3 linked regions of the Oreochromis niloticus genome follow. The protein of the gene in region 1 interacts with the protein of each later gene in a pairwise test. Links are inferred from orthologs where the notes say so. Each region holds a gene or a part of one and is shown in the gene's direction. Other genes may lie near its edges.

Region 1 (10,769 bases):
ATACAAGTGAATTGCACATTTCAAGTATTGAAGTCTATTGCACCGTTGACTATTAACAAAAGTATTGCACAGTGAAGTGAAGAGGCACTACAGCTTAGTTGTTCCCCCCTCCTTTGTCCTCCTGTTTCCCCTCCCTCTCCCCTCCAGAGAGGAGTTGAACAGTCTGATGGCGTGTGGGTCAAAGGAGTTTTTAAGTCTGTTGGTTCTTGTCGTTGGGAGAAGCAACCTGTCACTGAACAGACTCCTCTGGTTGTTTATGGCCGTGTGCAGAGGATGCCCAGCATTGTCCATAATGTCCAGCAGTTTTTTAGTGTCCTTTTCTCTGCCACTGACACCAGAGTGTCCAGCTTCATGCCGACCACAGAGCTAGCCTTCCTGATCAGTTTCTCCAGCCTGGATGAGTCCTTCTTTGCTGTGTGTGTGTGTGGGGTCAGAGTGTGACCCCATAAATGACTTCCCTAAACCTGCTGGCCTGGAAGTCCAGCAGTTCATCTAAACAAAAGGCACTTAGCCTAAAACAGACATAGATACGTTTATCCTATCATAAAACAATAAGAGAAGGTATGCCCTTTTCCCATGCTCCCAGGATGTGGGTTTGAATGCCAGAACACCCTGGAATGCACCCAAAGCCTTTTGCAGTCTACTAAAGATCACACATCCTATCACTACACAATCGATTATACACCTCTAAGCATATATGGAAACTTATATCATTAAAAGATTATACTGACTACTAAGTACAATTTTCCATTGACACATAGCCAGAAATAATAGCCCAGATTAAATTAAATCCAAAGTTCTCCCAGTAATAATGCAATCTATGCCATAAGGACAAAAATACTGGGCCAAATCTCGTAATCTTTGAATCCAGGTGTTTTCATACTGTTTGCCACAGATGTATCAAGTCAAGCACCCAGTAATGCAGTCTGTCTTTGCAAACAGTTGTGAAAGAATAAGTCAAGTCAGCTTGTGAAATTTATTTGGTCCTAGATATTCCATGATCAGCTGTAAATGATATTATTGCAAAGTTGAAGCATTTAGGTAGTTTCCAGTTACCTATAGCACAGATTTAACTGAGCTATATCAATCCACTGTAATGTGTATGGTGTCTATTATCCATATAATTTAAAAGTAAAGTTTGAGTTAAGTTTGGCGCCATCCAGTGGAAGAATCAAAAAAACACACTGTCGTCAGAACACTTTACATGGTCCATTAACAGTTATTAAAAACGAGTAATTTTGCTTTTCTTGCTGTGTGTGTTTATCCTCCAGGCTGTCAAAGAACCTTATCAGTGACCAATCAGGAGAGAAGCTGCTCGAGGCTTTGAAAGACTGCAGCCACCTGGAGGAGCTCTGGTGAGAATGTGTTTCATTCCTGTAAATGTGCTTTTGGCACTTGATTGCAAGAAGTGTACAAAATAAGCCCTCAAAACTTTTGAGTGAACAGTTTAATCTTCAAACTTGTTTATTTTCCTTTGGAAAAGCTGAGTTTTATATATTTGGCTATATAATTAATTGGCATTTAACTCATGCAACTCAAAGATTGTTTTAAAATGTACATATTTATATGTCTTTTTGTGCACTCTTCCAGTCTGTCCGATAACACACTGGGAAACCTCACTGCTGCCAGGATGGCCCTCATTTTCCCATCACTGACACACCTCAGTGTGTTAGAGTAAGTCTCACCCAGGCGTATATGTTCTCATTGATATGTGTTTCTCCCCTCACTTATTCAGCCTTTTTGTTCTTTCTTTAATTCTGTGTCATTTGTAGCATTTCTCTCAACCGTATTGACCATGAAGGCTCCGATAGCCTTTCCAAAGCCATAATGTGCATGAAGAACCTCAAAAAGATTAAGTAAGACTCACTTGCTTTGATTATTTTCAGAATCACAGCTCACACAGGTGACTACACTTACTGATTGTTTTTTGTCTTTTGCACAATAATTCAGCCTGACCTCTGTTGGGACTTCAGAGCTGTGTGCTGTTGTAGCCAGTCTGGCTCACTGTCCCCTCATACAGGAAGTTGGGTAAGATCAAGCAAAAATGATCAAACATTTAATAATCTGGTGGTGTTCTGTGTTCTTTGGTACATGGACATCCCCAGTTCTGTAAGAGTTGGCACACACTATATGCAATGATTTGTAAATCTTGTAAACTCACGTTTTATTCACAATAGAACATAGAAAACGCATCAAAGGTTTAAACTGAAATGTAGCATTTAAGAAAAATAGTAGCTCCTTTTAAAGTTACTGTGATCACATCTGGCTTCTTCTTTACATGGTAGAGCTTTAACATGCACTTGTGGATGAACTGTGTTCACAAACAGTGATTTCTGGAAGTATTCCTGAGGGATTTCCATGAGAGAATCGTGCCTGTTTTTAATGCATTCTTGCCTGAGGGAACTAAGATCACAGGCATCCAATACTGATTTTTGACCTTGTCCCTTGCACACAGGCATTTCTCCAGATCCACTCAATCTTTCTGATGATGTCATGCACTGTATGAGAAGATATTCAGTTTTTTTATTGCAGATTGTTCAGCCTCTGTCCATCATTACTTCTTTTTATACCCCATTATGTGACCAACCTGTTGCAAATTAACCTAATAATTTGCTAAATGTTCCTCCAGATGTTTCTTTATAATGCCCCTTTTTTCCCACCCTTTTGTTGCCCTTGTCCCAGCTTTTCTGAGACACTATGACCACATCAAATACAAAATGTGTAAATATTATGTTTTCTATTGCCACTTGTGAACAGAATATGGATTTATGAACTCTGCAGATCATTTCATTCTGTTTTTACCTACACTTTACACAGCACCACACAGTTTAAGGAACTGATGATTTAATTATTTAAGGTATTATTGTACATGACACTATGGTTTTTAATTAAAAGTAATTTTTTGCGTGGTGCTTCAGCTTCTGTTCTTTAAACCTCTCTCTCTGTGTCTTGGTGTCTGTCTAGTCTGGGTTGGAATAACTGTCGTGATGAAGTGGCATTAGAAGTGGCCAGGGTTTTGCCTTTCTGTCATACGCTGACTCAGATAGAGTGAGTAAAACACACACATAAAGACCCGCAACTGCAAGAGTTTTACTTTTTTCCTTCCACTTTTCATTTAGGATTTCTTATATTTATTAAAACAATAAGGAAAACAACTCTAGTCTCAGTACATGAGAGATTAAGTGTTTATTTCTCACAGTCTCGAGTGCAACAGCTTGAGTGTTTCTGGAGCGGAGGCCCTGCTTAAAGCCTTAAGGTTCTGCCCTGCTCTGCAACTCATCAGGTAAACTTCCTGAACTTTTATGCCTGCATTATCCACTGAAACCTTATTAATTTTTAATGTTGTGATAATGTTCTGGTCTTTATAAATTCTTGAACTTGGTTTCAGACTCTGGAAGAACAAAATCTTTGAGGGTGATGTCCATAGGCTCGCTCTGAGGGACAGGAGGATGAATTTCTCTTCCACCTGATATGATCTGCACTGCTGGACAGTTGAGAAGTACAATTCCAGTTCACCAGCACCGGTGCAGATGAACACTCCAGTACTTCTTCTGCCAACATTGACTTAAAAATCTGTGAGAAATTTGGTTTTTTTGCTTGAAGTGTTTTGGGGTTTTTTTTCTAAGTGCTGCTCCATTAAAACACGGCTGTACAGTTTAAATAAGACAAGAAGAAATAATGTATTTTTGAAACTATTTAAATCTCTGACTTTGCACTGATTGGCCTTTGGTTTCACAAAGCAGGAAACCGGTGGAAGTCACTGAAACCTTTTTTTCAAAAGCTGTTGTCACTGTCCGCCTAACTAGAGATGCAGTTTTTAACAAAAAGTTCCCTCAAAGCCATTGAAATAACACACTTACTGTCATAATGAGTCGTATTAATCAGCAGTAGAATGAGTTTTTTTACGGCTGAGGGTGTACTGTCATCACCTTGCCAGGCGGGCGAGTAGGTGGGCGAGGACACCCAAGTGAGTGATGCTGAGAGACTGGCCAGCTGCTTCCTGTTTTATCAGTGAATTCCTGGGAGAAAGGAAAAACACACACATACACAAAGCAGGCCCTGCCAAAGGTTGAGTGTTCAGTTTTAACTAATGTATCACACTCATTACTAAATTCTTCCCTACTGAATTGGACAGATAATGTTTTACTGTTATAACGGGACTACAGTATTTCCCATATGACAGGATCATTTCAAACTTGTTACAATAAAGTTAGAAAAAGTCACAAAGTACATTATAGATGGCTTTTAAAAAATATTACACTAACTTATGTATGCACTTAAAAAAGTGTGAAATCACTAAACCTTTGTTGAGCTCCACCTTTCAGTAGCACACCACTGAGCTTCACACCGACTCAAACTGCTGTGAAAATAAAGGCCACGCTGTGTTATTTTCCTGTGAGGAAATGATGACTGTATCTTTGCAGACTCTGATACAAGGAGTCAATTTGCATTGTGGAATGTTTACAATAATTAGAGGCCACATTACTGAAAACACAAGAAATCACAAAGTCACAGTAAAAGAAGAGTTATCTGCTCCTATCGTCATTCTAGGTCGTGGTCTCTATCCAATGTGCGTATTTATTTCTGCTGTTTATCATAGTAGGACACAAGAAATTGTATTTATTTATTGAGCTGTGATTAAATCAGGGTTAAAATTTTAAAAAAAAAAAGAAATATTTTTATAGGAATGTATTTGCTTTGTGACCAAAAGAAGATCCTGTAACTTTTGCAGGTCGCACCATGACTTTCTAACGTCATGCTGATGCTCTGATTTCTGAATGTAATGCACCTTATTCCTTTCTCTTTTCCCGTGTGTAATTGTCCGTTTTTTTCATTTTTCCTTTGATTTTTGGAGCAACACTGGATCATACTGAAAGGATTTAAAATTGCTTATCTGTTAAATATAGTTTTTGAAAGGTTTGTGTGCAGGTTGTGATTTGAGCTTGACAGAAAAATTGCAGATACTTTTGATATTTCCTGACTATGAGTTGCATTAAGATGTCACCTGCTAATTAGAAAACATTAAGTTGAGTTTCTATTTTTTTGTTATGTCAGCGGTTTTACAAAGTATGATGTTAAATTTAAACACATCAATAAAGCACAAACTCAACAAAATCTGCTCTAGCAATACATGCCAGTTAAATAAAGTCTAATACAAAAAATATGCACCTCAACTATAATATACAACTTAAAAAAAATGGCAATTCTGGTTTGTTCTCAATGTCAGCAATTAAAAGTTGATACCTGATTGCTTTATGCTTTTACTTTACATCTTTTTGGTGTAGATTAGGTCATCTTATGTCCTGCTCATTATGCAAAGCACAATTCATACCTCTCCTGTTTCCTTGTCAGCGGCACCAGCAGCTGCGTTCGGTCGAAAGGTTGTAAATTATGTTCACTTTCCGCCCTCTTGTGGTTAACAGTGGTACTGCTGAATGGGCTGCAGGAGGATTACCAAAACTTGGGTCCTTTCACTTCAGGTGTTTGTGTGTGGATTGAAGCACTCGTCGTGAGTCCTTAAAAAGTTAGACACAAATCATTGTACACATTTTTAAAGGTTAGTTTACGCTTGTGGATCATATCGTACGCATTTGCAACCCTTTGGAGGCAAATTTCTCTCCATGGAAGAAGGATTTGCTTTGCTTGCTATTCTTGCACAATGTTCATCTGAAATTATCAGAAAAATGTTGCGTATACCCCAGGATTAACGAGACTCTGAAACTGTGGGCGTGCTTATACGCAGCACATAAAAAACATGCAAATGTGACTAAAGATGTAAACTTTTCCAAGGCTGAATTACATTTTATTGAGATTCAACTAAATAACAATGGAAAGTAAAATAAGACTGAATACATAACACCATAAAATACTGCGCATGCAGATGTACATGCTTAGACTTCGCTGCGGTTAGCAGAAGCATAAAACATTGGGAAATACTTTTAAAATAATGCTTTAAAATGAACGTCCTGTTGGCTACTGTAAATAGCCTTATTTTACATCTAACGTGGCTGTAGTGTTAAAAGAAAGTGAACAAACTTGGGGCCTGATGTCTGTACACAAGGGAGAAGATTAAATTCATGTTTTAAAGATAAACTTTATAAGTACTTAGTAAGTAAAAAAAAATCAAAATAATTTTAAAAAAATTATGTCTTAGATGTGGAATAAATGCATTCACCGTATTAAGTAGGGTAAAAAAAATATATGCATCTTTTTCCTGTTCTGTAATTTTATGGAAAATATAGGCACTGATCGCGCATGAAAGACTAACCGGAAGTAGTTTTTCTGCTTGACTCTTCCGCTTTTGATTTGGGAGTGAGTTTGTCGTACTTCCGCTGTGAAGCCACCACTGTTGGCTTTATTAAACTCTGTCCTTCAGTGGCGCTGGGCGCAGAGAGCACAGTCCAGGCTGCGAGGATGGTTTGTGTTCACACACTGTTGCGCCTTCCAGGATACTCGGGTTAAAAAAAAAAATTAATAATAAAAAAAATGTTAACCTCAGCTTTCACTCCTTTATAGGAAAATTGCCTCTGCTTTTCCTCTCTCTTCACTGTACGCAGCACTTAAAGATTTTTTTTTTTAAGTGAAAAGCGGCGGAGAAGTTGTTCGTCATTTACCGAGGTGAGTCGGTTTCAGATTTTCCTGTTGGGTTTACATTAGAAGAAGAGATCTGACAGCAGATCCCGAGTCAAAGGGGAACCGGGAAGCTACTAAGACGCAAAAATAACCCTTGCAGCCAAAATGTACAGTCGGTGTGCTTCTCTTGGAGGTTAATTACGGAAGGATGTGGGGAAGATGTCATGTTTTGACGAGCACCTTTCATGTAGGACCAAAAAAATATCACAGGAAATATGGTACAGAATAGACAGGTGTTGTGTTTGTGTGTGTGAAAGAGAGTTTTAATGGTTAAGTTGGCATATCTCTCTCCTTGATTCAGATTTAGAGTCTACTCTTCAGTGATGTTGGCTACTTTGCCACCAATATGGCTCACCGGTCTTGTAATTAAACTTAAAGCGTGCTGATCCTTCCGCTAGTATTAACAAGTTGCCATCTGCTTCCAGGTCATTTTCCGCCTCAGTCACTCACTTTAAGCTGCCTGCCCAAAATGCAGGTGTGAGCAGGTGTGAAGCTTTTTGGCACGGTCAGTACAGTCAGAGGCCTGCACCTGACCCTGGCTTATGTTTGTGTTTTCTTTCTACAGTGCACTCATACACAAAGTGCATCATGTAGCCAAAAATGATGCAATAGCAGCTCTAGTTTTTTTTAGAGCCACAGTACAAGAAAAATGCAGTTTTGTGAGGTTCAGTTGCTTTTAGAAAACATTCATCCTGTTTTTCCCCTCTGATGTCTCAAATATTGTGGACCTATCCTGAATCCAGTTAAAGTGCAGCACAGTTCACTTGAGCAATACACTGGACACCTTTTAAAGCTGCTCTGGTGCATTGTAGCATGCTTCATGAAGCCATGTTTTCTTTGATAATGCTATTTGGCAATCTGTGATGCCTTTTTAATCTTAATCATTCACACTTCTATATAAGGGATAGAGCAGGTGTCTGCTTAAAGCTGGATTTATCCCACTCTCTGCTCCTTCTCTCACTGGAGTTGTTAATAGCATCTATAAATACAGGAGATGCCACTGAGACCACGAACAATGAGCGAGTGAGTAAAAGTAGTTGAGCCAGTCAAAACACGCTTTTCTCCACCTATGAATGATGAAGTGAGTGAATGAAAATGTTGCACTGGTATTTTCAGTGCATCACCACTACCAGTGTGACATCACAGTGGAGCTGAGCGGGAGGAGCACGCTGCTTATGACACATTAGTATCTTAGCAACAGACAGCATCCTTTTAGCATGCCGCTGTGAGAACAAAACCACTGATCTGGACACGGGGCGCTGTGCTGTTTATTTGTCCTAAAAGCCACCTGGGAATTATTTCAAATGCAATACCACTGAGAATGTGTTCACAACATTTTTTACTAAACTCAGCAATTGTTTCAAGATTTGTGTGTGTGTGTGTGTGTGTGTGTGTGTGTGTGTATTCCCTCTTTCTGTTTTTTCCATTCCTAGCCTGAGGCTTCTTTAGTTTAGAGGTAATGGCTTTGATCTGGGCTCAGGGCACTGTGTGTGTGTGTGTGTGTGTGTGTGTGTGTGTGTGTGTGTGTGTGTGGGTGTCTTTGCAGTGCTTAATCCTGGGTATCATTTGGCTTATCAGAGGGTAACTATGACTCTCATAATGCCCCCAATGGATTTTTTTTACACCAGTGGTGTTTTATTTGTACTCATTGGGTATTTTTAGCCGAACAGAACCATTTGTATGATTAAGCCGAATTCTCAAGGTGATCTGATGTAATTGGGATTTACTAATTCTGTTATCTGGGTAAACTTCCCCTCGTTTGATTAGGTCACAAATATGTCAAACAACTTTTAAAAAAAAACAAACGGTGACATTAAAATGTTACTTCCATTCGACAAATATCAAACACTGATTTCTGTAATTGTGCTCTCTGCGTGGCAACAGATACAGACACCCAGGGTGTTGGGAGCGTCTCGTGTTCTCTCCTCAGCGGTGTCTCCAGTAATTTAGGATTTGGTTGGATACCAGCGTAAGATGAGCACATGCACATGCTTGTCTGTTAGAGTTACGTCAGGGAAACTGCGGTTCATCCTGGACACCAGCCATCTGTGTGTATGTAATAGCAACCTACAGTTGTTTACATTTACATTACATGAGAGTAGCACATTTATTTACTCACTCTTCGTGGCACTGGCAGATACTTTGAGCTGATGGTGACCGTAGGTTATTGATATTGGCTGTTTATCTTTTTTTCATGACAGCCTAACAGGAAAATCTCTGCACATCTGTTTCTGTCATTTTAAGCCTCAGTAATGTTTCAGCCAGTTTCTGTACCTGCACTCTGTTTTAGTTTGGTCTAATTAATCGTCCATTTACTGAGCAGCCATTTTGGCTCAGGGTAAACACAGGTGTAATTAATAACTCTAATTATGGCTCTGTTCCATTTGGATGGGGTGCTGGCATTGTGTATGCTCACTGACAAGAATGGCATCAGTATGCTAAATAGAACAGGACCATAACTTCGTTTTATCAGTTATACCTGTGTTCACCGGTGTTAACGCAGTAATTTACAAAGCTCATAAACACATGTTTTATTCTCAGTTGAATGTAGAAAACATCAAATGTTTAAACTGAGAAAATGTGTCATTTTAAGATGTATAAGGTCACTTTGAATTTGATGGCAGCAACACATTTAAAAAAAACAAAAGGCTGTTAAAGTAAGTGGTACTAAAAAGAAACAGCTGGAGGAACATTTTGTGACTAATTGGGTTAAGTGGCAACAGGTCAGTAAGATGACGGGTTATAAAAAGAACAAGTAACGATGGGACAAGGTCAAACAATCTGCAAAAAACTGTGTTTACAAATTGTGGAACAATTTTCAGCATAATTCAGAATCAATATAAAACTACAATATAAATATCTCCTCACCTATAGTACATAATATCATCAAAAGAGAATCTGGAGAAATCTCTGTGCACAAGGGACAAGTCTCAAAAAGAGTGTTTAATGCCTGTAATCCTCTGGTACTGCATTTAAAATGGACACGATTCTGTCATGGAAATCAACGTAAGGGCTCAGGAACACTTCCAGAAATAGCTGCCTGTGAACACAGAAATTCTGTTTGGAAACATGGACTAAAGAGGAGAGAGATCATCAAGCTTGCACCTTGGACCAACTCGAGTCAAAAGCCTGTGTCCTGTATGTTAGGATGGTGCATTAGTGCCTATGGAATTAGCAATTTGCACATGCTGAAAGATGTATACAGGTTTTAGATCAACATATGCCCGCATCCAGTCGACCCCTTTTTCAGGGAAGGCCTTGCATATTTCAGCAAGATAAAGCTCAACCACAGCTACTCCAACAGCACAGTATAAGAGTCTGGGTGTTGTACTGACCTGCTTACGGTCCAGACCATTTAGCTGTTGGAAAAATTTAGTGCAAAGAAAACATACAACAGAGATCCAGAGATCAAGACCTTAATACTGTCTTAAAATAGTACATTTTCTCATTTTGAACATATGATATATTTTCTATGTTCTATTCTGGGTGGCTGCAGCTCAGGAGGTAGAGCAGGTCATCTACAAACCAGAAGGTTGGTGGTTGATATGCCAGATATCCTTTGGTTGCTCTCTGATGCTCCCATCAGACAGTGAATGTTAGAAAGAAAACACTTATGCAGAAAAAGTACAGAAAAAGGTGTTTATAGGAATGGGAGTGAATGTGCTCCTATGCTGTGATGCAGGCTGTAACAGCTCTGCTATGATGGTACTCTGAAGAGGATAAATTCATTTAGTCTGTGAAAAAATAACCCTCACCACTTTACAGAGCCAAAAGTAGCATCTTCAGGTGTTATGTTTCCAACAGCTAACTGCACATAATGCAGAGAGTTTTAGTTCACTGTCATATCACTGCACATATTCTCATTGCACAAGCTGAGAATGTGCTGAGATTTGTTATTAATAATCACAGCAGCTCTGTTTAATCTTTTTTTTTCAATCGACAGTGGAAAAATTCATTGTAAGGATGACATATTTGGTTAAGTGTCAAGATTCAGATGTGCACAAGTATGAAACTAAAAGCCTGTTTGCTTTCCTTCAGGGTGATCAGGTGTGACCATGGCCTACACACTGGGCTTGGCCACTGATGGCCAGAAGCGCAGTGTCGGACCTCAGCACTGTGTCACTCGGGTGGAGTTG
Region 2 (9,636 bases), on another chromosome or scaffold:
CCTCTCCCATGTTTGTACATTGTTAGTCTCTTAGCTTAAGATAAACCGGAGAAGCGCTGTCATTAAAAACTCACTACAATAATATATTTCATGTGATTCATTTCCTGTGTAATTCCAGTTTGCTGTAAAAGCTAGATAATGAAACTTATCATCTACTGACTGAAGCTTTAAATTTAGTGTAAGGATGAGTGTGGTATACTATATATAATGAACAGTAACAGTCCCTTTAAAATCTAACAAAACAACAGTAAATAAATAATAACATAGTGCTAAATACACCCAAACCAGTGGAGTGGCTGTGTTTAATGAGTTGAGTTACATTTCACTGAGCACAGCTGTATACCTTTTGCTTTAAAAGCACCTTATAGTTGTTGCTTTCAATGTTTAGCTCTCCCTTCAGAGCAGAAATAACTCTATTGGACAAAACTGGGAGGTTAAATGAAAAGAAAGAAGAAAAAAAAAAGCAAAATCACAACAACAACAAAACACCATGTGCTGCAAGGTCAGAGCGAGTCCCCCTCCCACGTAGGCAGGAAGTGTCAAGCACAAATTGTCTGTGGGCGCTGCCCATCAGCAACAGGAAGAACAAAGTGCAAACCAGCAATGACGCCACACTCCTCACATCATAGGATGATGGATTATTTTATTTGAACACCTTGGAGACGGTACAGCCAGCCTGAACTTTCTATTTCACTTCAGAATGGTGGCAACAATGCTAGCCTGAAGTTTAGAGCTGTTTCCATACATTTCAAAAAAGGAGTAGGATCGTGTAATTACTTTTAAAGTATACATTTAGTGGGCTTTTAATCTTCTAAATTGTCATTATAAGGGGAATTTTGGATGAGCTCTGTATCTTTCCACTTCTCCTGCCACACTAAGGACATCTCAACAGACCAAAAATCCATTGACCCAACCATAAAAACAGCAAGGGTTCATTTTCACAGCAAATATCTACTCGCAGAGCATCCTGGTAATAGCCAAGTGAAAACACTCCAGACAGCTTCAGTCAAAGGTAATCCATCATACACTGAATAAATCTTGTATCACGTGCAGCACATTTCCTGGCTACATTTCCTACTTTAAAACAGAAAAGTGTGCAGGGTGAATTTGCTTTAATGTGAATGTATTCACACTTGGCAACCATTTAGATGCACATCAGCAAAATATACTGTACTAGATATATGGCTGTGAAGATAACTCATAGCACCCACAGGCACAAAAACACACCCACACTTGCTGGCATCCTACAGTATAGCAGGACAACACTGTTTTGTTGAGTGTATATAGAGTCTAATTACATCGTGAGCAGTGGCGATAAATCACTGGAGTCTTAATCAAAGCACTAGAACAGAGAGAGTCATCAATCACCTACAACAGCACAACACAACATCAGCCTGAAGCCTCTCCTTGTCTTCTTGGCTGGCAGCCCTGCTTTGCGCCTAACTAGGGCCATATCGCTGTGACACATTATCATTAGCACAATCAGCTCTACTTTGGATGTCCTGACAGAAAGCAATCAGATGGCAAATGGATATGAGATATATGGAGCTATAAAGCTGACAAACTCTGATTCCCATGTCACTGCATGCAGAGGAGAAAGCAAAAGATCTCTTTTCCGGTTTTCCGGGGAGTGCACGCAGCTCCTTTGAGGTTCTTCTTCCGAGCAAGGTGTCATTGTTTTGATAGCCTGCCACGATCTAGTGAAGGCCTGCTTAATTCTGATCTCTTCGGTCTTTGCATGAACCTTAACTGCAGTTGGCTGTGATGGATCGCCAAGAGTGGGGTCACCTCAAAAGCACAGTAGTGACATTCAAAATGTCCCAGCTTAAGGTGGGGGAGTGACAGATGGCATTTCAATGGAATCTATAAAAATGTGTCAGCACCAGAAGATTTTGACTTTGCCCTACTTTTCAACTAGTGTACATCTAAAATAACAATACAGGGAAAGCCAACAGAGCTGACACTGCTGCCGTCTGGAGCATACCTAACACCTTAATAAAGTGCCCAGGAGCAAGAGTGTGATTGAGACCCACGGCAATGGGTTTCAGTCATAACCAAACTGGTTTTCAAGTGTCTTCTGGGAATCCATTTCCTTTTTTTTGATGAAATGTTATCACATCATTCTGCTGTTTAACATGAGAGCATGTCCGAGGTTAAATGAAAGAGGACAAGGCGGATAGCACAAATCGAGAGAGAGAAGGGCTGAGATAGCGGGCAGTCAGCTATGAAGGACATGGCCACAGCAGTTATTTTTAGTTATCAGTTTTCAGAGGCTGTCATTCGGAACATCTCATTAAAAATCAGTTTAAAAAAAAAACCCCTCCAAAAAACACCACCACATTCAAATCAAAGAAACTCTGAGGCTTGTGTCCTGCGCACATATGAGCACACACCCCAGCATCAAATATTATGAGCTCATAAGGTTATCAGCTATCAGTGCATACATTAGCAGACTTCTGGTGACCTCTGTAGAAGACAACTTTTCCACATTTGCTTTAATTTTAGAGGCGATGTAGACAGGTGGATTAATTATGTCCACAAACCCACAGGCACCACTCTTAAAATGCAAAGAGGCCAATCCAAGGTTTATTAATGATTCTATAATAAGAGATTCATTAACACGATTTGGACACATTAAATCAGATGCTTTAGGTAGATGCCCTTAAGTAACATAATACCAAGATTTAAATTTCCTGTCTCATCACTGCAGAGTGGAAAACAACTCAAAGCAACAAATTCATTACTTTTTATGTAGTGTAGTAGAAATGCAGAAGAAAGGGTGCTGTATATTTTAGGACTTCATTTTTCATTCAGTTACTTTGCATCCACTGCGGACGATAATATTAATTCATCAGATAGTTTTATTCCACTCAAGCAGGCCATTTCGCTCTTTAATGCTCATTAACTGGTTTTATAGATGATTGCTAGTTGCGGGGCTAAAGCACATAAACCAGAGCAATTATCAGGTAATTACTAGTATAGACTTTATTTAACTCTCAGTGCCATTGTTAAACTCCAGTGCCCCACGGTGATTTAGAAAAGTTACACTAAGATTGCATGAAAAGTATCAGCATTCGAACAACTGTGCTAAATACGATCGCTAAAAATTGATTTCAGTGATATACAGCGACAAGAGTCTAAAGTAAGTGTGCACAAATATACGTGGGAATAATTATTAAAAATAAATCAATCCTCTGAAATCATTTGGCACTAACAAAAATAACATGTTTTATGAATGAATGAAAAAAAGATTAATACTGGATACTTCACTGTGGTCTAGTGTTTTAAAAGCTTTAAATCGTTATCCTGTTAAGCAATAGAGCCCTCTAGCTGTATGTTTCTCCCCATATGTGTCTCAATAATCTCCTGATTTTATCCTGCAAGGTGCCCTATGGCACACACAGCAAAGCATCCCCATAAGGCAACTGAGCCGCCTCATATATCACAGAGGGCAGGGCGTGATGCTCCTTAAAAGCTTAATTCTCTCCTGTGAACATGATGACACTTACTTTTTGTTTCTTCTGTTCGAAAAGCAGCTGCTCAGCAAGGATTTTAGAAAAGTAGAGCTTTTGTAATGTCTCCCTTTCAAAAGTGGGCTTTTCCTGTTGTATTCAGAAAGGGGCGCACAGTACAGTCGGAGTGTTTTGATCTCGGAGGTCAAGTAGTGTATGTTTTGAAGTTTTTGTTGTATTTTTTTTCCTGTGTCAAATAGGCTACAGCCACATCTAAGGAGTTTAAATATGGTCCCATAAACTTCAATAACATACAGAGATCAGATGTTAGCAGAAGAAATTGCAGCCTTTACCAAGACCATACATGGCAATTATTTTCTTCCTTTTCTCTTGTTTTGTTTCTTGTCTCTGTTCACTCTGGTGAACACAAGAGCACAAACAATTTTTTAATTTTAAATAGCCTGAATGACACAACACAAGATTGAGAATCCCTGTATTACAAAGCAAAGGCAATAATCTGCGTGAAATGTCACATTTCACAACATATTTGTGGAATACCCTAAAGCATTTAATCTCTTTTCACAGCTCTTTTGTTTCCTGGCATGCCCAGTTGACAGTATGCTAGTGTTTAGCACAGATGTTTTAATTTCAACACTTATCAGGATGAACAGAGGACCACTACAGTAAGGTGTACGGTGTAAGGGTACTGTATTGAACCAATATGGACAGTATTGATACCAATACTGGCATTGGTATCGGATCAATGCTAGGTGATAGGATCGATACTTTTTTTTTTTATCAGTATGTATTGTGAATGAATGGTGTCAAATAACTTTTTTTGGAGGGGGGTGAAAAAATATAAACATGTACTATTAAAAATGTCTGAACCGTTTTGTTTTGACTGTCACATCTATTTTATTTATAGCCTATTGTACATGTAAACAACAGATGATGAAAAGCTTGAAAAGCTGAAAGGTGTTTTTTTTTACATTTACTAATTGTTGTGGACAGTAAAAACATTACAGTGGTTGATGGTCATTAAAATGTGTTCAGAATTTGAAAATGAATAAATTATCTCATAAATCATGACACACTGCCCCACCCACATAAGCATCGGTATTGGTATTGGTAATACTGGCCCTTGATTTACTTCGTACTGGATCAATACTAAAATGTGCAGTATTGCCCAGCAATACAAGTCTGCACTTGAAAACTGGTGAGTTGTAAAGCCATAACAGGTAAATACTACCATCTGTTGGAGCTTCGATGTAATTTCCGCCTTTATGGCCGACTGTTGACAGTGCTACCTTCATGATAATGGGAATATTGAAATTCCACCTAAGTAATAAAATTAAAACTAATTTAGCATATATAGATTATATGCTCTACAGCCTCTAGCTGCGGGACACATTAATTCTAAAACTGTAAACCAGAACATTGTCAACAGAGACTTTTATCCGACAGTAACGCTATTGTTGGCTGACAGATTTCTTGTTTACTACTGCTAAATTGGACATTTGAAGTTACTCAAAGATGGCGGAGACGGACGAGCCGTAAGTAGCTGCTGAAGAAACAAGCAAGAAACCCCGAAAGATGCTTTCAAGTCACCTTAATCTGCGAAAGCACAGCATGAATCAACCTTCTTTTATTCTCTCTTTTTAGGGAGAAGAAAAGAAGGAGAGTAGTGGAGCTGACTGAGAAGTTAGTGATCAATTGGTAGAACTGGCGCAAGGTTTGAGGTTAACATTAGGAGGAAGGTTAACATTAGCTAGACGAAAAGCTAAGCTAATGCTGGTTGTAAATGAAACTTGTGAGTAGCTAGTTGACAGAAATATCCTGCCTAGTTGACCGTGAATAACTAACACGTCTGTATAGTGAATAAGCAGTGGTGTTATTAATTTCTGTGCGAAGTCAGAGGTCTGTTGTACCTCCTCACTGTTGACATGTTAGCTATTCACTTAGCTTAGCTGCCGGTAGGCTGGGAGCTATTCAGGCAGGAGATATTACCCAAAATTCAGAGGGTCAGAAACGCCCACCCGTGAGACAGGCAGTTTTAGTAAGATGTTTAAAGGGGACGAATTATGCTCACTTCCAACTCTTTGCTGCCTATTTTTAATCTTGGACTCTTCTCAAGAAGTTCACTTTTTTTTTCATCTTATACTGGACCTTGGTGTAGCCTTTCAGGCATTCTGTCTGCAATAATCACTTTCAGCTCCCGCCCTTTAAGGGAGCTTTCATCTGATTGGCTACTCTTCACAACTAGAAAGTTTTAATATGAGGTCGGTGGGGCTTTTGTGGTCACGGCCAAAGTTGTGTGCCTGAGATGACCATATAAGTAGAAACAAGCTTTTGAAACTGAAAGCTTTTGGCTCAAAGATTTGGCCATGTTTAATGTGAGCATCCACCATTGCAACAACTATGAAACTGCATAATAAAGCCCCTTTAAAAGAGCCATATATGTGAGAGAACAGAGGTTGATGCAGAGTAGACATTAAAACATAAGTGAATGTGTACACATGATGCCTACTTAGTTTCCTAAAAGTCGTTTAATTTTCTGCTGTAAATAGCACTCTTTCTATTAACATTAATCACAACATTGAGCATAGGATTTAGTTCATTTCCATGCTGTACGATTTAAGTAGCGATAAACGTTTTGTATGTTATGGGGCCATATGTTGCCATGCATGCACTATTTAACATTTTTGTCAGAGATACTGTTGATAATGCATCCTAAACACGAATGTCATCCTTAGGATGTTGGTGGATGGAGACGCTGGAAGCACCTCTGATTGGGATGACCGTTGGAACCATATCAAGAAGTTTTTGGAAAGATCAGGTCCATTCATGCATCCTGACTTTGAACCTAGCACAGAGGTAATATTTGCAGTGAGGAATCTGATACAGATATCTCATTTTTTCTGTCCTGTGCCATATTTGATATCTCTGATATGAAATGTATTCTCCTATTTTAGTCCTTGCAGTTTATGTTAGAAACCTGCAAAATCTTGGTCATTGGTGCTGGTGGTTTGGGATGTGAGCTGCTAAAAAACCTGGTATTATTATTATTATAATTATTATTATTATTATTATTATTATCATCATCATTTGAATGGTATAATTATAATTGCAGTGAATAGTTCGTATTTAATTTTCATCTTTTTGTTCGTCTTGTGGCTCAGGCCTTATCAGGCTTTCGCAACATTCATGTTGTTGACATGGACAACATTGATGTTTCCAACCTAAATCGACAGTTCCTCTTCAGGTGAGTAGAATCAGTCAGTTCTGTGTAAAGTCTGATCCTTACTGTGTTATGTTTTATCTTTGATTGTCATGTGTCTGTAATTTTCACTAGAGCTAAAGATGTAGGTCGGCCCAAGGCGGATGTTGCTGCTGACTTTATAAACAGCCGTGTGCCTGGATGCTGTGTAATCCCGTATCCTTTTGATTGAGCAACTATTCTGAGACTTCAAATGCTTTATCACGTGCACATGGTTAAAATTTTAACGTACAGTCCTTGTGGATAAAATGTGAAAAATGTTCAGATATTACAGTTTTAGAATGCAAAGACACCATACTACTTTTCTGTGATGCGAACAATATGAAGTGAATGTTGTGTTAAAACCCAAACCTTTCCTAAATGTTTTGTGCAGCTATTTTAAAAAGATTCAAGACTTAGATGAAACATTCTACAGACGTAAGTATCAACAGGGCAATCCATTACTGGCTTTTGTAATGTCTGAATGGATTTGCTCACTTGAGATTAATTTTGTTTCGCATTAAATATCTCACTGCAGTTTAATTTATTTTTTTTAAGTGTGTGTAACCCACTCTAAATGAAAAGTCATTGCACCACTTAATAGAATAGAGAAACTTACTTCACATGTCCACTTTCCTGTGATGTAAACCTGCTCCTTAATGATCTCACTTGCCATTAGCAATTTACATGTTAACTATAGTTACTTGAAAAAGAAAGTTTTCACAGGACCCCATGAAATCCTATGAAAATCCTCCATGATATTCTTAAAACCCCAAGGGCTACAGACTCTACAAGTCTCAGTTAACAGGTCAAATGCTAAAGTTCATGACAGCACAGTTAGAAAAAGACTGAAGAAGTACAGTTTGTTTTGAAGGGTTGCCAGGAGGAAACCTTTTTGCTCTAAAAAAGTGGGTGATGATTTTGGATCTTTTGCAGCCACAGGACACTGGGCACTTTGCTGTCTTTGATTCAACCATGAACTCCTCAGTGTACCAAACTATTCTGTGAGGCCATCTGTCTGATAGCTAAAGTTCACAGCAGCGAATCTATAACAGAAAGGTTGAAATGCTGTGACAAGACTTCAAGAGAGCTGAGCATCTTAGTGCTGCTAACGGTGGTTCTGAAAGCTACTGAATCACGGGATGTCGTTAGTTTTTCACATAACTGCATAGAATCCATAAACTTTATACTCCACTTTTTGATACCTCCACTTTTTTTGACATTTTCTTCACAAAATTTGAATAAAAAAAACAATTAGAAAACGTAGAAAATTGGATTTGAGTTTGTCCCTCTTTCTATCTTTACCTAGAATTCCATATAATTGTGTGTGGATTGGACTCTATTGTGGCGAGGAGGTGGATGAATGGTATGCTGGTAAGTTAAATCTCTTTATTGTGATCTTTAACATGATCTGTTTAGCTCTTCACAGTTGAAAAATGACTGGATTTCTATCTGTAAGACCATGCTAGCTAAAGGGAACAAATTTTAAATGTAAACTCTGTGTTTCTGTTTTTGTGTAGCTATCTTTGCTGGTGTATGAAGATGGTGTCTTAGATCCATCATCCATCATTCCTCTGATTGATGGTGGGACTGAAGGCTTTAAAGGCAATGCCAGAGTCATTCTCCCTGGCATGACAGCCTGCATTGACTGCACACTTGAACTTTACCCTCCCCAGGTAAGGTAGCAGATGTTTGTGTAAAATAATGATCATAGCCATGAGTTAATTATCTTTCAGAACCAGATCCCAGTCAGTTTTTCAGTGCTAAACCCAAACTGTGTCTTTAGATCAACTTCCCCATGTGTACAATAGCCTCAATGCCTCGTCTGCCAGAACATTGCATTGAGTACGTGCGAATATTGCAATGGCCGAAAGAGATGCCCTTTGGAGGTAGGAAGTCACACCATATTATATATTTTTTTTTAATAATAATTACAATTATGAGGTAGTCAAACCTGTGAACAGAAAGTATGTTTCAATTTTTGTTTATTTTATTATTATTTTTTGTTTGTTTTAATGTGGATTAGATGACATGGCTCTGGATGGAGATGACCCAGAACACATCCAGTGGGTGTACCAGAAATCTCTGGAGAGGGCAGCAGAGTTCAGCATAACAGGAGTCACATATAGACTAACACAGGGTGAGCTTGTATAAATAGCATTTCTGTGGCCACGAGGTGACTGTTATTTTTCTAGCTACTCCTGTGGAAGATGAGCCAAGTAATATAAAATACAGCAAGCTGATGGTGCTTTCATTTTGTGTGGAAACTCTTATCTTAGTTTGTGTCAGTAAAACATTACAACACTCCCTAAAGTTCATTCAGATCAGAAGATTTGTACAGCTTTTCTTTCTTTTGACCAAACTGCATTTTCCTCTTTGTTTTCTTTCATGATTAGAGATATAAAAAACTAATTGGCTTTAAATGTTTCAGGGGTTGTTAAGAGGATAATCCCTGCTGTAGCATCCACAAATGCTGCCATTGCTGGTAAGTAGCTAAGACTGTATAAATGTAAGACCTGTGGACTTGATTCCTCTATGAACGATTATAAAAGTTAATGATTCACTCATAGTGCTCTGTAAACAGGATTTGTTTTTTCTCTGCTTTATTCGATGCAGCTGCTTGTGCAACTGAGGTTTTCAAAATAGCATCAAGGTGAGTTCGCAGGCTGTTTGCCACATGTCAAAATGTGTTTAAAAACTGAATGCACATCTCACAGTTTCTAATAACATTGCTATTACCTTTTTGCACGCAGTGCATATTTACCTCTGAATAATTACATGGTCTTCAATGATGTTGACGGCCTGTACACATACACCTTTGAAGCCGAAAGGAAGGTTTGTGTCCGACTCGCATCTGTTAGTTCATGACAGAGTTGCCTTTTTGGATAATGCGTGCATGTTTGTGGTTACTCTTATTTCAGGAAAACT
Region 3 (10,584 bases), on another chromosome or scaffold:
GGTTTACAACAGATAAAAGTCACTCCCAGAAAAGGTCAGGCGTTGTTAACAAAGATTAAACTGACAGCAAAACAACAAAGAAGCCGTCTCCTAAACCTTCAACATCATTAGCTATTACACCACTGTTAATGTTCTAATATATATTTTAGATTGTGCATGAAAAGTGCATCACTCTTCTACAGTTCAATGTGTTTCGGTTTTATAGCCGTAAAATATCCATCAAAATAAAAACTAAAGTAGAGGACTGACAAAGCTGCTCAAAAACAAACCAAAAAACAGCAAATATTTTTAATTAGCACCATCATCATCCAGTTATTTTGTTTCTTATTTGTTTTTTATTCAAACATAAAGTGTTTAGTATGTCCCTGGAAGACTGTTTGGCTTTTTTGAAGCATGCAGGTTGGTTTGGATTTAATTCCTGACAAGTGAAAAAAGAAAGAAATGCAAAAAAAATGTTTTGGGCTGATATTTCACATGTATGAACAAAGCCTAACAATAGTACAAGAATCTGTGCACAGAAGATTAAAGCTCACTAAGACTTATACTGTGAGTGTCCTGATGTCTTCACCCAGCTCTCAGACATTGAACTGGGAATGGAGGTCACTGACATCATCAGAAAGTACAGTCACTTCCCCACGCCCTCCTCTTTTCCTTTCCTGGTTATGCTGGGAGTGTTTGTGTTTTCAACCACTATAAAACACAAAGCAGAAGAACACCTTCACCCATCAGGACTCAGCTGACAAGTATTATTTACATCTTCAAAATGCCATGGCCATACTCTATGAGGATTTTTAAATGTAAGTTACAGAGCTGTTTTATATATCAGTTTGGTAAATCAATAATTATTATTCCAAAATCAACAAATATCAGCTGTTTCTATATTGTTACGAGACTAAACAGTTATTTATGTTTTATGAAAACAAACAACATAATTGACTCTGGAAATTATAGTGCATAAATATGAGAAACAGATGTTTTTCACTTGTAACTTTGAAGAATGTAAGATCTGCTGTTATCTATTGAAATAAATCCCTGAAAACTGAGTGAAAACAAAAAAGAATATATGAAAAAAGTACTGTAAGGATTAGCAAACAACTGCAAAAAAATGTCTTAATGATAAGTTGTGAATTAATTGTAAAAATCTTTAAATATAAAGTTTATGTTTTAGAGGAAATGCTTATTGCCAAAGATAAAGTGCACACACAATAACTGTGTGAGAGTCACACATAAACAATGAATAATCACCGGCCACCTAGTGGACATTGAATGCAACTTAGTTCAGGATGAAGTCCAAAGCGCCACATGATTCTCAAAAGTGAAAGCACAGGAGTTTGCAAATTTTATTATGACTTCTTTACAAGTTTATTAGCTTTTATAGTTGCACTAAAATCTTTTTCAGAAACAACTTAACGGTGTAAAATAAGCTCATGATAGAAAACCTTGTCACATTATTTTCTGTTATCTTTTATTAATAGTGAGTCAGACTACTAATTTTCATTAAAACCATTAAATGTATGCATTATATTTAAGCATCTGATCACATGCAAAGAAATATTTTTATATCAGCACTAATAACTTTTATTTAATTCTGTGTAGTTGGCAAGTCAGAGGTGTCACACAGATGCAGCTCACGCTGTGTCGGTCCTCTGACCTTCGACAGTCAAGCTGTGGGAGAAAAGATCCGCCTGAGTCATGGAGGTCGACTCGCAGAGAAGACTGAGAACACCTTCAAGAATGGGCTGGTGTTCAGCAGCCGTCCAGTGAAGGTCCAGGAGAAGATTCGTCTGAGAGTAGAGAGGGATTCGACCATCTGGGACGGGGCTCTGCGTGTGGGCTTTACCACTGTGCCACCCTCAGCCAGATCTCTACCTCTGCCCTGCATGTCCATCCCCAATCTCACTGACAAGCCGGGACACTGGGCTGTTCCACTGGATGAATCTGTTTGTCAAGCAGGTTCAGAGCTGGAGTTTTGGGTTTCTTCTCATGGCAGCATATACGTAGGTGTCAACAACGAGGAGTACGAGCGACTAACAGGAGTGGACATGAAACAGCCACTGTGGGCCATGATAGACATCTACGGACAGACGCGCTCCATTTTATTCCTGGGTAAGTTCACTAGAACCACAGTTATATTTGACCTGCAGAATGTTTTTCCTGTTCTGTGAATGCAGAGCAATTCACATGCTCTGACAGTTATAAATGTTGTCTGAATGACCATTCATAGACTGAATGACTATTCAAATACTCCTTTCTCTTTGCTGAAGACTCCAAGAAAAACAAAAAGCTGCTTTACCATAGAAGATCCTGTCCTGCACCTGAACCGCTCACCTCACCTGATGCTTACAGTCACTTTCGTTCAGTTCCTGATGTTTCAAACTTCAGACGTGATGACTGCATCTCCTGTCTTGACACAAAAATGCCAGAAGGTAAAGAGTCATTTCAAACATTATTGGCTAATTTCAGTTGCACATTTCTGACCAGAGAGGATAAAAGTGAAATCAGCTGTAATAGTGTGGTCTCATTTCCTGATGTCACATTTGTAATTGGGATCTCTCTCTTTTTACCACAGATAAAATCTGTGTGGTGTGCATGGTGAAAGAGGCCAGAATCACACTGCCTTGTGGTCACCGATGTTTATGTAAAGACTGCAACTTCAGAGTCTGTGAGCAGTTTGGTACCTGTCCGCTGTGTCGACACACGATCAGAGCTTCATCAGTGGTGGAGAGGTGGTTTATAGAGGTCAGCTGATCTCTGAGACAACAGCCCGGAATTGTGACAGAAGAATAGCAGCAAGAGTGAAAGGGAACGTTTACAAGATGGTAGTGATGTTCTGCTGGGATGTATGGTGTGGAGATGGTGGCACTGACAAACAGACAGGAGGCCAAGTGTTGGCAGTTTTGAAGATGCTAAGAATGTCTCTGTTAGTGACCATACGGGACAGGACTAGAAATGAGTACATTTAGAGGACAGCTCAGATTGAGCGGTTTGGAGACAAAGTTAAAAAAGCAAGGCTAAGATGGTTTGCACGTATGCAGAAGAGTGATAGTGAATAAACTGGACAAAGGATGTTGAAGATGGAGCTGTTAGACAGGAGGAAGAAAGCAAGACAGAAAAGGATGATAGGATGATCCACTGTGCCGACCCTGAAAGGGAACAACCAGAAGAAGCAGAAGAGGAAGAAAGAAACTTTACAAAAAGGTTGATGTACAGACACTGAACTGAAATATTTCTAAATTGAAATGATTGAAATAGTACATCTCTTTTTGTTTTATAAACAAAATGTATTTTTGTAATTTTTAAGTCATTGTATGACTTAAACACTTAATGCAAAATGTGCTGTATGGTTCATTTTTCATTGTTATTGTAAATTGTAAAGCAATGTTGGATTTTTTAAAATAAAAAATTCAACTATGCCAGTATAATTAATGTGTAATATGTCATAATAAGCTCTTTTCTGTTATTTAGCTGTATGTGTTTTTATGAAACTTACTGTAAATTACAGTGAAATTAAATGGACTGTGATAAAAGGAAACCTGTCGAGACCATGTTTGATTAAAAATGTCTCTACAATCAGGTATTTACTGATTATAGGGACATTAAGAGAAAAATCAAAGCAGGAGTTCAGGTAAGAACACACTGTGTTGCCGACCCAGGCCAGCCCACGTACGTGTCATTGAAGCGGCCCTGATGGTCACAAACTGCCTGCAAGATGAATGATGGGAATAGTTTCCTGTTTCTGTAGCATTGACCATCAGGGCCGCTTGGAGACTTGAAGCGGATGTGGCAGCCGTCGATTGCCCCCACCGCTCTCAGAAAGGCTCTATGGCGTGCCAGCCCTGCAAACCCACAGGACAATACCTCCAGGTCCTTGAGGGTCTTTGGGAGCAGCATGATCTAGTGGCTAATGGCCACCACCCCCTCTGTGAGTCTATGAACAATGTAGTGGACTGTAGAATGAGGCATCCCAAACACTCTTGAGACCACCTGTAGGATGCTCCTCTTGCCAACCAGAAAAGAAACACCAGGGTCTCAGTTGTTGCACCCCAACCATGCTGCCGATCCGGGTTCATGAGATTTAGCAACACTGCCATAGACTCCCTGCTTAGCCGAAAATCAAGCCTGCGATCCTCATGGTTAAAAAAACGGTCCAGGATTGGGACACTCAGGTTAATCCTGCAGTACCAGACTCTGGTCTGGTTAAGCAAAAGGTGGAGAACAACATAAATAGTTTTAGTAATAAGGTATGATTTCATTTATTTTAAGAGATCAAAGCATTAATTTGAATATTAAGCTTAAGTAAAAAATACTAATGCACTGTGAAAAGACTTAAATATTATACACTTCATCTGTGTAAATGCTAAAAACTGAGTAAGTAAAAAACATCAAACAAACGCTAGCTGGGAAATAACAATGCATCATTGATCACATTATTAGACATACTAAAGGTGTCTAATTAGTCATTGAAACGAATACATATCAATATATAAGATTTGCAAGTTAATTTATATGTCTCAGCATATTTTATAACTGGAGGAAAATACATGTTATGATGAAACAACATTTTTATTATTAAATATTTAACCTGCCTACTGTTTGAAGTGGAGGTTTGCAGGTGTTTAAATTGGAGGGAATACATAGGACTGCCTAAATTACTACAGCTCCTTGTCTCTGGCGACATCTGTCTGTGCAACCTGATATCATATGACAAATCCTGTAATAGACCCAACAGTTCCCCTCAGAGCCACAGAGGGACGGTGTGGTACTATCTTTCATGTTAAGGTGCTTTCCAATGCAAAGTCTGTCAGAGTGAAATTGGAGGATATGTTGGGGTGTTGCTTTTTGGACTGCAAAGAGGATCCAACAGAGAAGAGGGCATACATCATTTGACCACTGATGGAAAAAATAGCTTGCAAACTTGTACTTGTGTGTCTGGTGTTCCAGAGATGACCTTTATTAATCAAAAATGAGTTTTTCCTCTGTGAATAATGGATTGCTCATCTGGAAACTTGGTTCAAGAAGAATAAATAACGGTCCCTGTTGAGCTGTTTGGTAACATGGTTGTCTTTTGTCTCTAACACAGCGGCAGACTCACAGAGGTGCGACCTTTGATTCCTGGTCTCACAGCCAGACTGTTAAATATTTATCTTGGATGGCAGGGCTGCGCTGCTTCTGGACTCAGGGTGAAAGAATCTAACAGATAAAACCCTCAAGAACTTAACAGAAGCTTAACATTTGTCCAGAAATGCAGCCGATCTTCATGATTACACTGTGGATTTTACAAGACTACAGCTTGAATACAAAGGTTTTCTCATACTGGGTGGCTGCATAGGGCCTGATACAGAGGATGGAAAAAGTGACACTTATTTTGGGATTAGCCTTTGTGTCCTAGTCTGGGGCAAGTGTTTGCATATTTGGGGTTGTTAGCGGATATGAGTTCATGTAAAAGAAAAAAAGAAATATACTTTCCTGGATCCTGTCTGCTATCTGGATGTCATAGAAAGTGCTAAAGACTCTCCTTTTTCCTTTTTTTTTGATTGATATGAATGTGACACACACTAAAGGCTTAAGAGTGTGAATAGACCAACAGGATTATAACACTAAGGCCTATTTATTGAGATTGCTATAGAAATCATCTTTTTTGGCATGTGCTGTCAAACACCGGAAGGTGGTTCTGCTGCGCCTCTATGGGAATTTCTATTATTTCCAGCTGTGGATGGAAACTATTACCAAGCCCCTTTTTCCCTGATGAGCTTTAAAGAGCATGCTCACACAAACACAAGAAACACACACACACACACATATTACATGCGCACGCCTATGGACACCCAGTCAAACATTCAGACTCAGGCTGAATCATTCACAGAAGATAAAAGACACCCTGTTGGCTTTACAAAGAGAAAGAGGGAGGGAGAGTTCGAGAGAAAAAGCAGCAGCAGTAGTGCCCTCCTTTTTTTTCATTCACTTCCTCTCTCTCCTTGTGTGCTGCAGAGACTTCACCGCTCAGCCTGCACTCTACAGCCTGTAAGTACTGTACAACTTGTGCCTCGGCTTCTCACAGTGACTAACGCAAAGGTTAGAGCTACTGGGATTTAAACGCTCAGAAAGAAGACTTATGTTTTTCTAGCCTCTTTCAGTTTTGACTTCAATTTTCGTGTGAGACTGTAGCACAGATGTGATATTTGCTTCTTCTCGTCACTACTCAGTTCATCACTGGCATTGACAAACAACATAAGGCATTATTTTTTTTAAGTCACTGGTCTGTTACTGCTGTGGGTTTATTTTCAGAATTTGTTTAAGTGACCTTAAGCAGCTGTCTGTGGTTCAAAAGATGGTTATCATCTGACCTTTATCCACACACCGACTCCCATGGTGGCTTTACATGTGGGGATATTTCAGTGTTTTCATCCTAGAAGTGCACTCTATCGCTCTTTTGGAAACAGGCATTAAAACCTGCAAGGATTTATTTCTATACAAGACATGTTTAGAGTGTGAACCAGAGTCCTGGGACATGTACAGCTCAGAAAAAAATGTTGTTTACTGCTAAAATAAACTCTGATGCATTTTTGTTTGTTCTCAGTGACATTCCACATGGGCTACCTCAGCGCATAACCTGTTGTATGGCCGTCGTTCCTTATCAGTCGTCTATCATGATGGCAATGTTTTTCTACGCTTTTGACTTATCTATCTTTACATCTTTCATTTGATTACAACAGTATCTGCTGTCTCCTGTCTCCTCAGAAGACGGAGAAGCTGATGCTTTAAAAAAAGGCTTGGGCCATAGCCACCAAGTATTTTAAGGTTTTTAGATGATTGACCTCCTGAGATCTTTAGCTGTCATTGTTTTAATTAGCTTGTGTGGTAAAGGTCTGCTTGAATCTATCAGTAACAATGAAGGGCTGAAGTACAAGATCATCTGTGTTCCTTCCTATCGTGATTATCTGGTTAAAAACCCCAAAATAAAACAAAAGACAAAAACAAAAACTGGAGCTGACAATGAGTAAACCTTCATGTTTGCGTGGCAATAAGAGAGTAAGACAAATTGAGCAAGGTTTTTAATACAGAGACGTGCTGAGCACCACCGCGCCAAACCTGCTATTGCCTCTTACGTGATTACCTCATTTAGGCGCAGAGTGACAAAGTACCAGATTTGGTCACAGCAGGGTTAAAGTCTGTGCCAGCAGGACACAGATTATGAAGGAAGGCTCCTCTAGATCGCCCTGCACTGTCCGTTTAGGTTCAGCAGCTCAACTGGTTGGCGAAAACAATCCTGTGAAGCGTACAAGCTCAGTAAGTGGATATCTGCGCTGAGCTTTGGTGTACCAAGCCAGACCGCTGAATTATTGAAAGAGCTGAGTGCTTCGATTTCAAGTTGAAACTGGCGAGCACATGCACAAAAACATACACTTTTAAACAAATGGGCAGACCGTTGAGTAGGCCCTGATAAATTTCCTTCTTTGTCCTGCTGGCTTTCAGTTTATTGCTGGAATAAAACATGGATGTAAAAGGAGGGATTGCATCTGTCAGCAGGTGATCGGATCACTCACCTGCAACACAGACATTGTAAATCAGTCTTCCTGCTGCATAATATGTGCCAAAGCAAGCCTGTCAGCACACTGGATTTCAGGTTTTACACCGTTTGTCTTTTTTGGCAAGAACTGTGGGCAAACTGGAAATCCTGGTTTCATTTGGGCAAGAACTGTGTGTGTGTGTGTGTGTGTGTGTGTGTAAGACAGCAGGATTTAAGAATGTGTTTGTTCCTGTTTGACTGATCTCCTTCTAATTTGCCTTTAAAAGGGCAAAACATATTTCAGTCTCTTGTTGTTTCATTTTTATCTTCACATCCAAAAAAGTATTGCTATTGTGTGCGATCATGGGAGAAAAGTCAGCAGGACTTGTGCTGTCAGTGGTTGCCTATGTGGCGTAGAGTAATGACTCTGAAACACTTCCAGAGCTACAGGAACAGAAAGAGCTCTTATTCTCCCTTCATGCCTTTGGCTAGCCAAAGACCTGGACTGTGTACACACACACATTCATGTAAGACACACACACAGACACACAAAAGGAGAGGAAGGCATGGGATAGATAAAGTTAGGAGGGGACATGATGGAGTCACTGGGTAGTGTCTGGGAGGTGGAGGTGATGAACTATTTTGGTTCTCCTTTGGTTAACCCTGTGCAGTGAAATATCACCTTATGACAACAATAGAGCTGCTTCACTGAAGGAGGTGCCCCAAACTGACAAGTCAAGTACGAGGGGGGCACTTCTTGAATATGGGGGGGTTAAAATGGGTTGCTATGGCAATGCCTGTCAACCGGAGAAGTCTTCCGCGGAAGCAGGGAGAGAGAGGACTGGAAAAGAGAAGAAGAGAGAGAGAGAGAGAGAGAGAGAGAGAGATTGTGTGTCCTGGCTAGTTTCATGAGTCAGAGAAAGTGGAGGGAAGGTCTGCAAGTGTGGTTTTCATGCACAGCTCATGCAGACAGAAAGAGGTGTGAGTGGGTAAGTACACCAAATGGGAGCACAAATATATAAAAACCAATAGCAGGGATTGACCTTAAGCATTGTGGCTGTCTGGAAACATGTGTAAGTTTTAAAACTGTGTTTTGTTTAAGGTTGAGTAACCTGTCTGACTGCTCAGGGATTACATGCTGCTCTACAGGATTAATGCTGCGGTTTACAGTGTCTTAAAGCAAGTTAACTCATGTAGTTAGTGTTGAAACGGACAACAGGAGTGTGCTCCACTTGCGTCTGAGCAAGTGGAGATGAGAGCAGCTGGAGTCACAGCTGGAGCACTGAGGGAGAGAGTGAGAGTAAGAAAGAGAGAGAGAGAGACCTGGCATTGGGGATAGTGTTTCCCAACATGTCATCCCTTGTTGCTTTGCCCAGTGGGTAAGTGTACACTGGCAACTGTCAGGTGAGCTGAGAGGAAATAATTAGTTCTGTCAGGATTACTTTCCCATCTTGCAGCAGATATCAGGCCTAATGGCCCCAGGACCGTCCAGGCATCACCGGAGGCCCTCCTCACTGTCGGGGTAATTTCCACAGTTGGCTTTGACTCCCTTTGTGATATTACTGAGGGTCTAGCTGCCAGCACTCATAACCACTGGCTGCACTCAGCTTTGAAGATGCAAGATGACAAGCATGAGGATTTGTGACATTTTTCTGCAGTTACTCTGCTCTGAGCTTTGTATTTTCTCATGCTTTGTCTGGCGTATCGAACACAAGCTCAAATAAGGAATCACTTTAAATGATGTGAAGCATGCTTTTTTTGTTGTTTTTGTAAGAGCAAATCTGATAAAACGGAACCTACTCTGGCTCTACCCGGAGAGGGAGGCTGTGATTTACTGCCTTTGGGCTTCTCCTGGGAACTCAGCGCCTCTCCATTGACAAGAAGTACAGACTCCTCCTGCTGCTCAGACTGGAGGAGCACCATACAAGGAGGTGAAATACTTCCCTCCTGATAAATGTGTGTATCCCCTCAATAACTGCATATCATAAACTTGCGGCTGCAGGACCTTGTATGGGCTGCGTCGGCACATCTGCGATGCTGCACACGGGAAGCAATGTTGTACCATCGACCTCGCAGAACTGACCTCTCACATAGCTGCAGAGTGACTCACTTTATGTGTTTGGAAATAAAAGCCTGTTTTATTTACTCGACAAATGTGCTTGTAATTACCATCTCACCACTTTTTAAGGCAGGATTTTGTTGGTTTTTACAGCGCTCTTATGTAACTTACTGGGCAGCAGTAACACTGTGTACGTGCAGATGAGGTGATAAGACTTTACCCTTCAGAGCAGGTTAAAACAATATCCACACTCCTATACATGATTAGAATCTTTTTGCACATTTTAAGGATTTTATGGCACTCTGAGAGTGTTTAGGTCGACATGTTGTAGCCGGCTTTCTTCATGAGCTTTTACACAGCTTTAAGAACTTTTAATCGGACTCTTTGCAGCAGTGCACTCTTAAGGAGTAAATGATTAACTCTTTTGCTTCTGCTTACCGTGCTGCACAAAAGACTTGGGGGCTCATAAATGGTGATCAATTCACAAGGGACTGTTGTTTTTTTTTTAAGACCATCTTTCCTAATTTGCAAAAAAACAAAACAACCGTCAAATCACGACGTTCCCAGTAGCAATCGCACAAGTTCATGGGTCAGCACTGCCGCAGTTTTTCATCAGAGTATGTGCGGCCACCTTGACAGCCTTGCTCCCACTGAGAACAATATAGGACGTGCTCTCTCTTTGTGCAGTGGAGATGGAGGTCATCATAGGTCAGGGTGTTCGCAAAAAGACCTGGCTGCAGCTTTCTATGGAAGATAGAGAACTTTAGGAAACGGTGGCTTCTTGCCATCAGCTGGTGTCATGAGTGAGAGCTGTGTGATCTGTGAAATGGGTTTATCTTTACAAACATTTGACATTTTTTTGTAGTCTGCAAAACTGCTACTATATTAGAAATGTTATTAACAGCTGTGGAAACCTCCTTTTTGTGACTCAGAGGAATTACAGGGGTGTGGTGAAGTTCAGTGACCTCGTAGCTGCTGACTGGTTCTGCTCTGTCTCAACAACTTCTGATAATAGCTT

The links.
Region 2: the proteins of cpne2 (region 1) and uba3 interact in binary tests that used the Homo sapiens proteins (3 or more experiments, as listed by UniProt). The two-hybrid records come from large-scale screens. The link is inferred for Oreochromis niloticus from reciprocal best matches to the Homo sapiens genes CPNE2 and UBA3.
Region 3: the proteins of cpne2 (region 1) and sorbs3 interact in binary tests that used the Homo sapiens proteins (3 or more experiments, as listed by UniProt). The two-hybrid records come from large-scale screens. The link is inferred for Oreochromis niloticus from reciprocal best matches to the Homo sapiens genes CPNE2 and SORBS3.

Annotation. Positions count from the first base shown.
Region 1 is NC_031972.2:7,548,307-7,559,075, forward strand, and holds the start of cpne2 (copine-2), read left to right. Parts: upstream 1-6,360; 5' UTR 6,361-6,618; intron 6,619-10,671; 5' UTR 10,672-10,688; coding exon 10,689-10,769. Other genes in the region: protein NLRC5, read left to right, coding at 1,272-1,355, 1,591-1,674, 1,773-1,856, 1,951-2,028, 2,965-3,048, 3,200-3,283, 3,389-3,470.
Region 2 is NC_031970.2:29,901,035-29,910,670, reverse strand, and holds the start of uba3 (NEDD8-activating enzyme E1 catalytic subunit), read left to right. Parts: upstream 1-4,953; 5' UTR 4,954-4,985; coding exon 4,986-5,005; intron 5,006-5,114; coding exon 5,115-5,153; intron 5,154-5,165; exon of another isoform or gene 5,166-5,184; intron 5,185-6,205; coding exon 6,206-6,326; intron 6,327-6,424; coding exon 6,425-6,505; intron 6,506-6,631; coding exon 6,632-6,714; intron 6,715-6,804; coding exon 6,805-6,885; intron 6,886-7,102; coding exon 7,103-7,146; intron 7,147-8,017; coding exon 8,018-8,082; intron 8,083-8,228; coding exon 8,229-8,384; intron 8,385-8,494; coding exon 8,495-8,597; intron 8,598-8,734; coding exon 8,735-8,848; intron 8,849-9,139; coding exon 9,140-9,193; intron 9,194-9,324; coding exon 9,325-9,361; intron 9,362-9,461; coding exon 9,462-9,543; intron 9,544-9,629; coding exon 9,630-9,636. UniProt on the Homo sapiens protein: Catalytic subunit of the dimeric UBA3-NAE1 E1 enzyme. E1 activates NEDD8 by first adenylating its C-terminal glycine residue with ATP, thereafter linking this residue to the side chain of the catalytic cysteine, yielding a NEDD8-UBA3 thioester and free AMP.
Region 3 is NC_031977.2:13,312,519-13,323,102, forward strand, and holds the start of sorbs3 (vinexin), read left to right. Parts: upstream 1-5,839; 5' UTR 5,840-6,021; intron 6,022-6,053; exon of another isoform or gene 6,054-6,072; intron 6,073-8,394; exon of another isoform or gene 8,395-8,496; intron 8,497-9,298; exon of another isoform or gene 9,299-9,438; intron 9,439-10,584. Other genes in the region: E3 ubiquitin-protein ligase NEURL3-like, read left to right, coding at 764-797, 1,597-2,165. UniProt on the Homo sapiens protein: Vinexin alpha isoform promotes up-regulation of actin stress fiber formation. Vinexin beta isoform plays a role in cell spreading and enhances the activation of JNK/SAPK in response to EGF stimulation by using its third SH3 domain.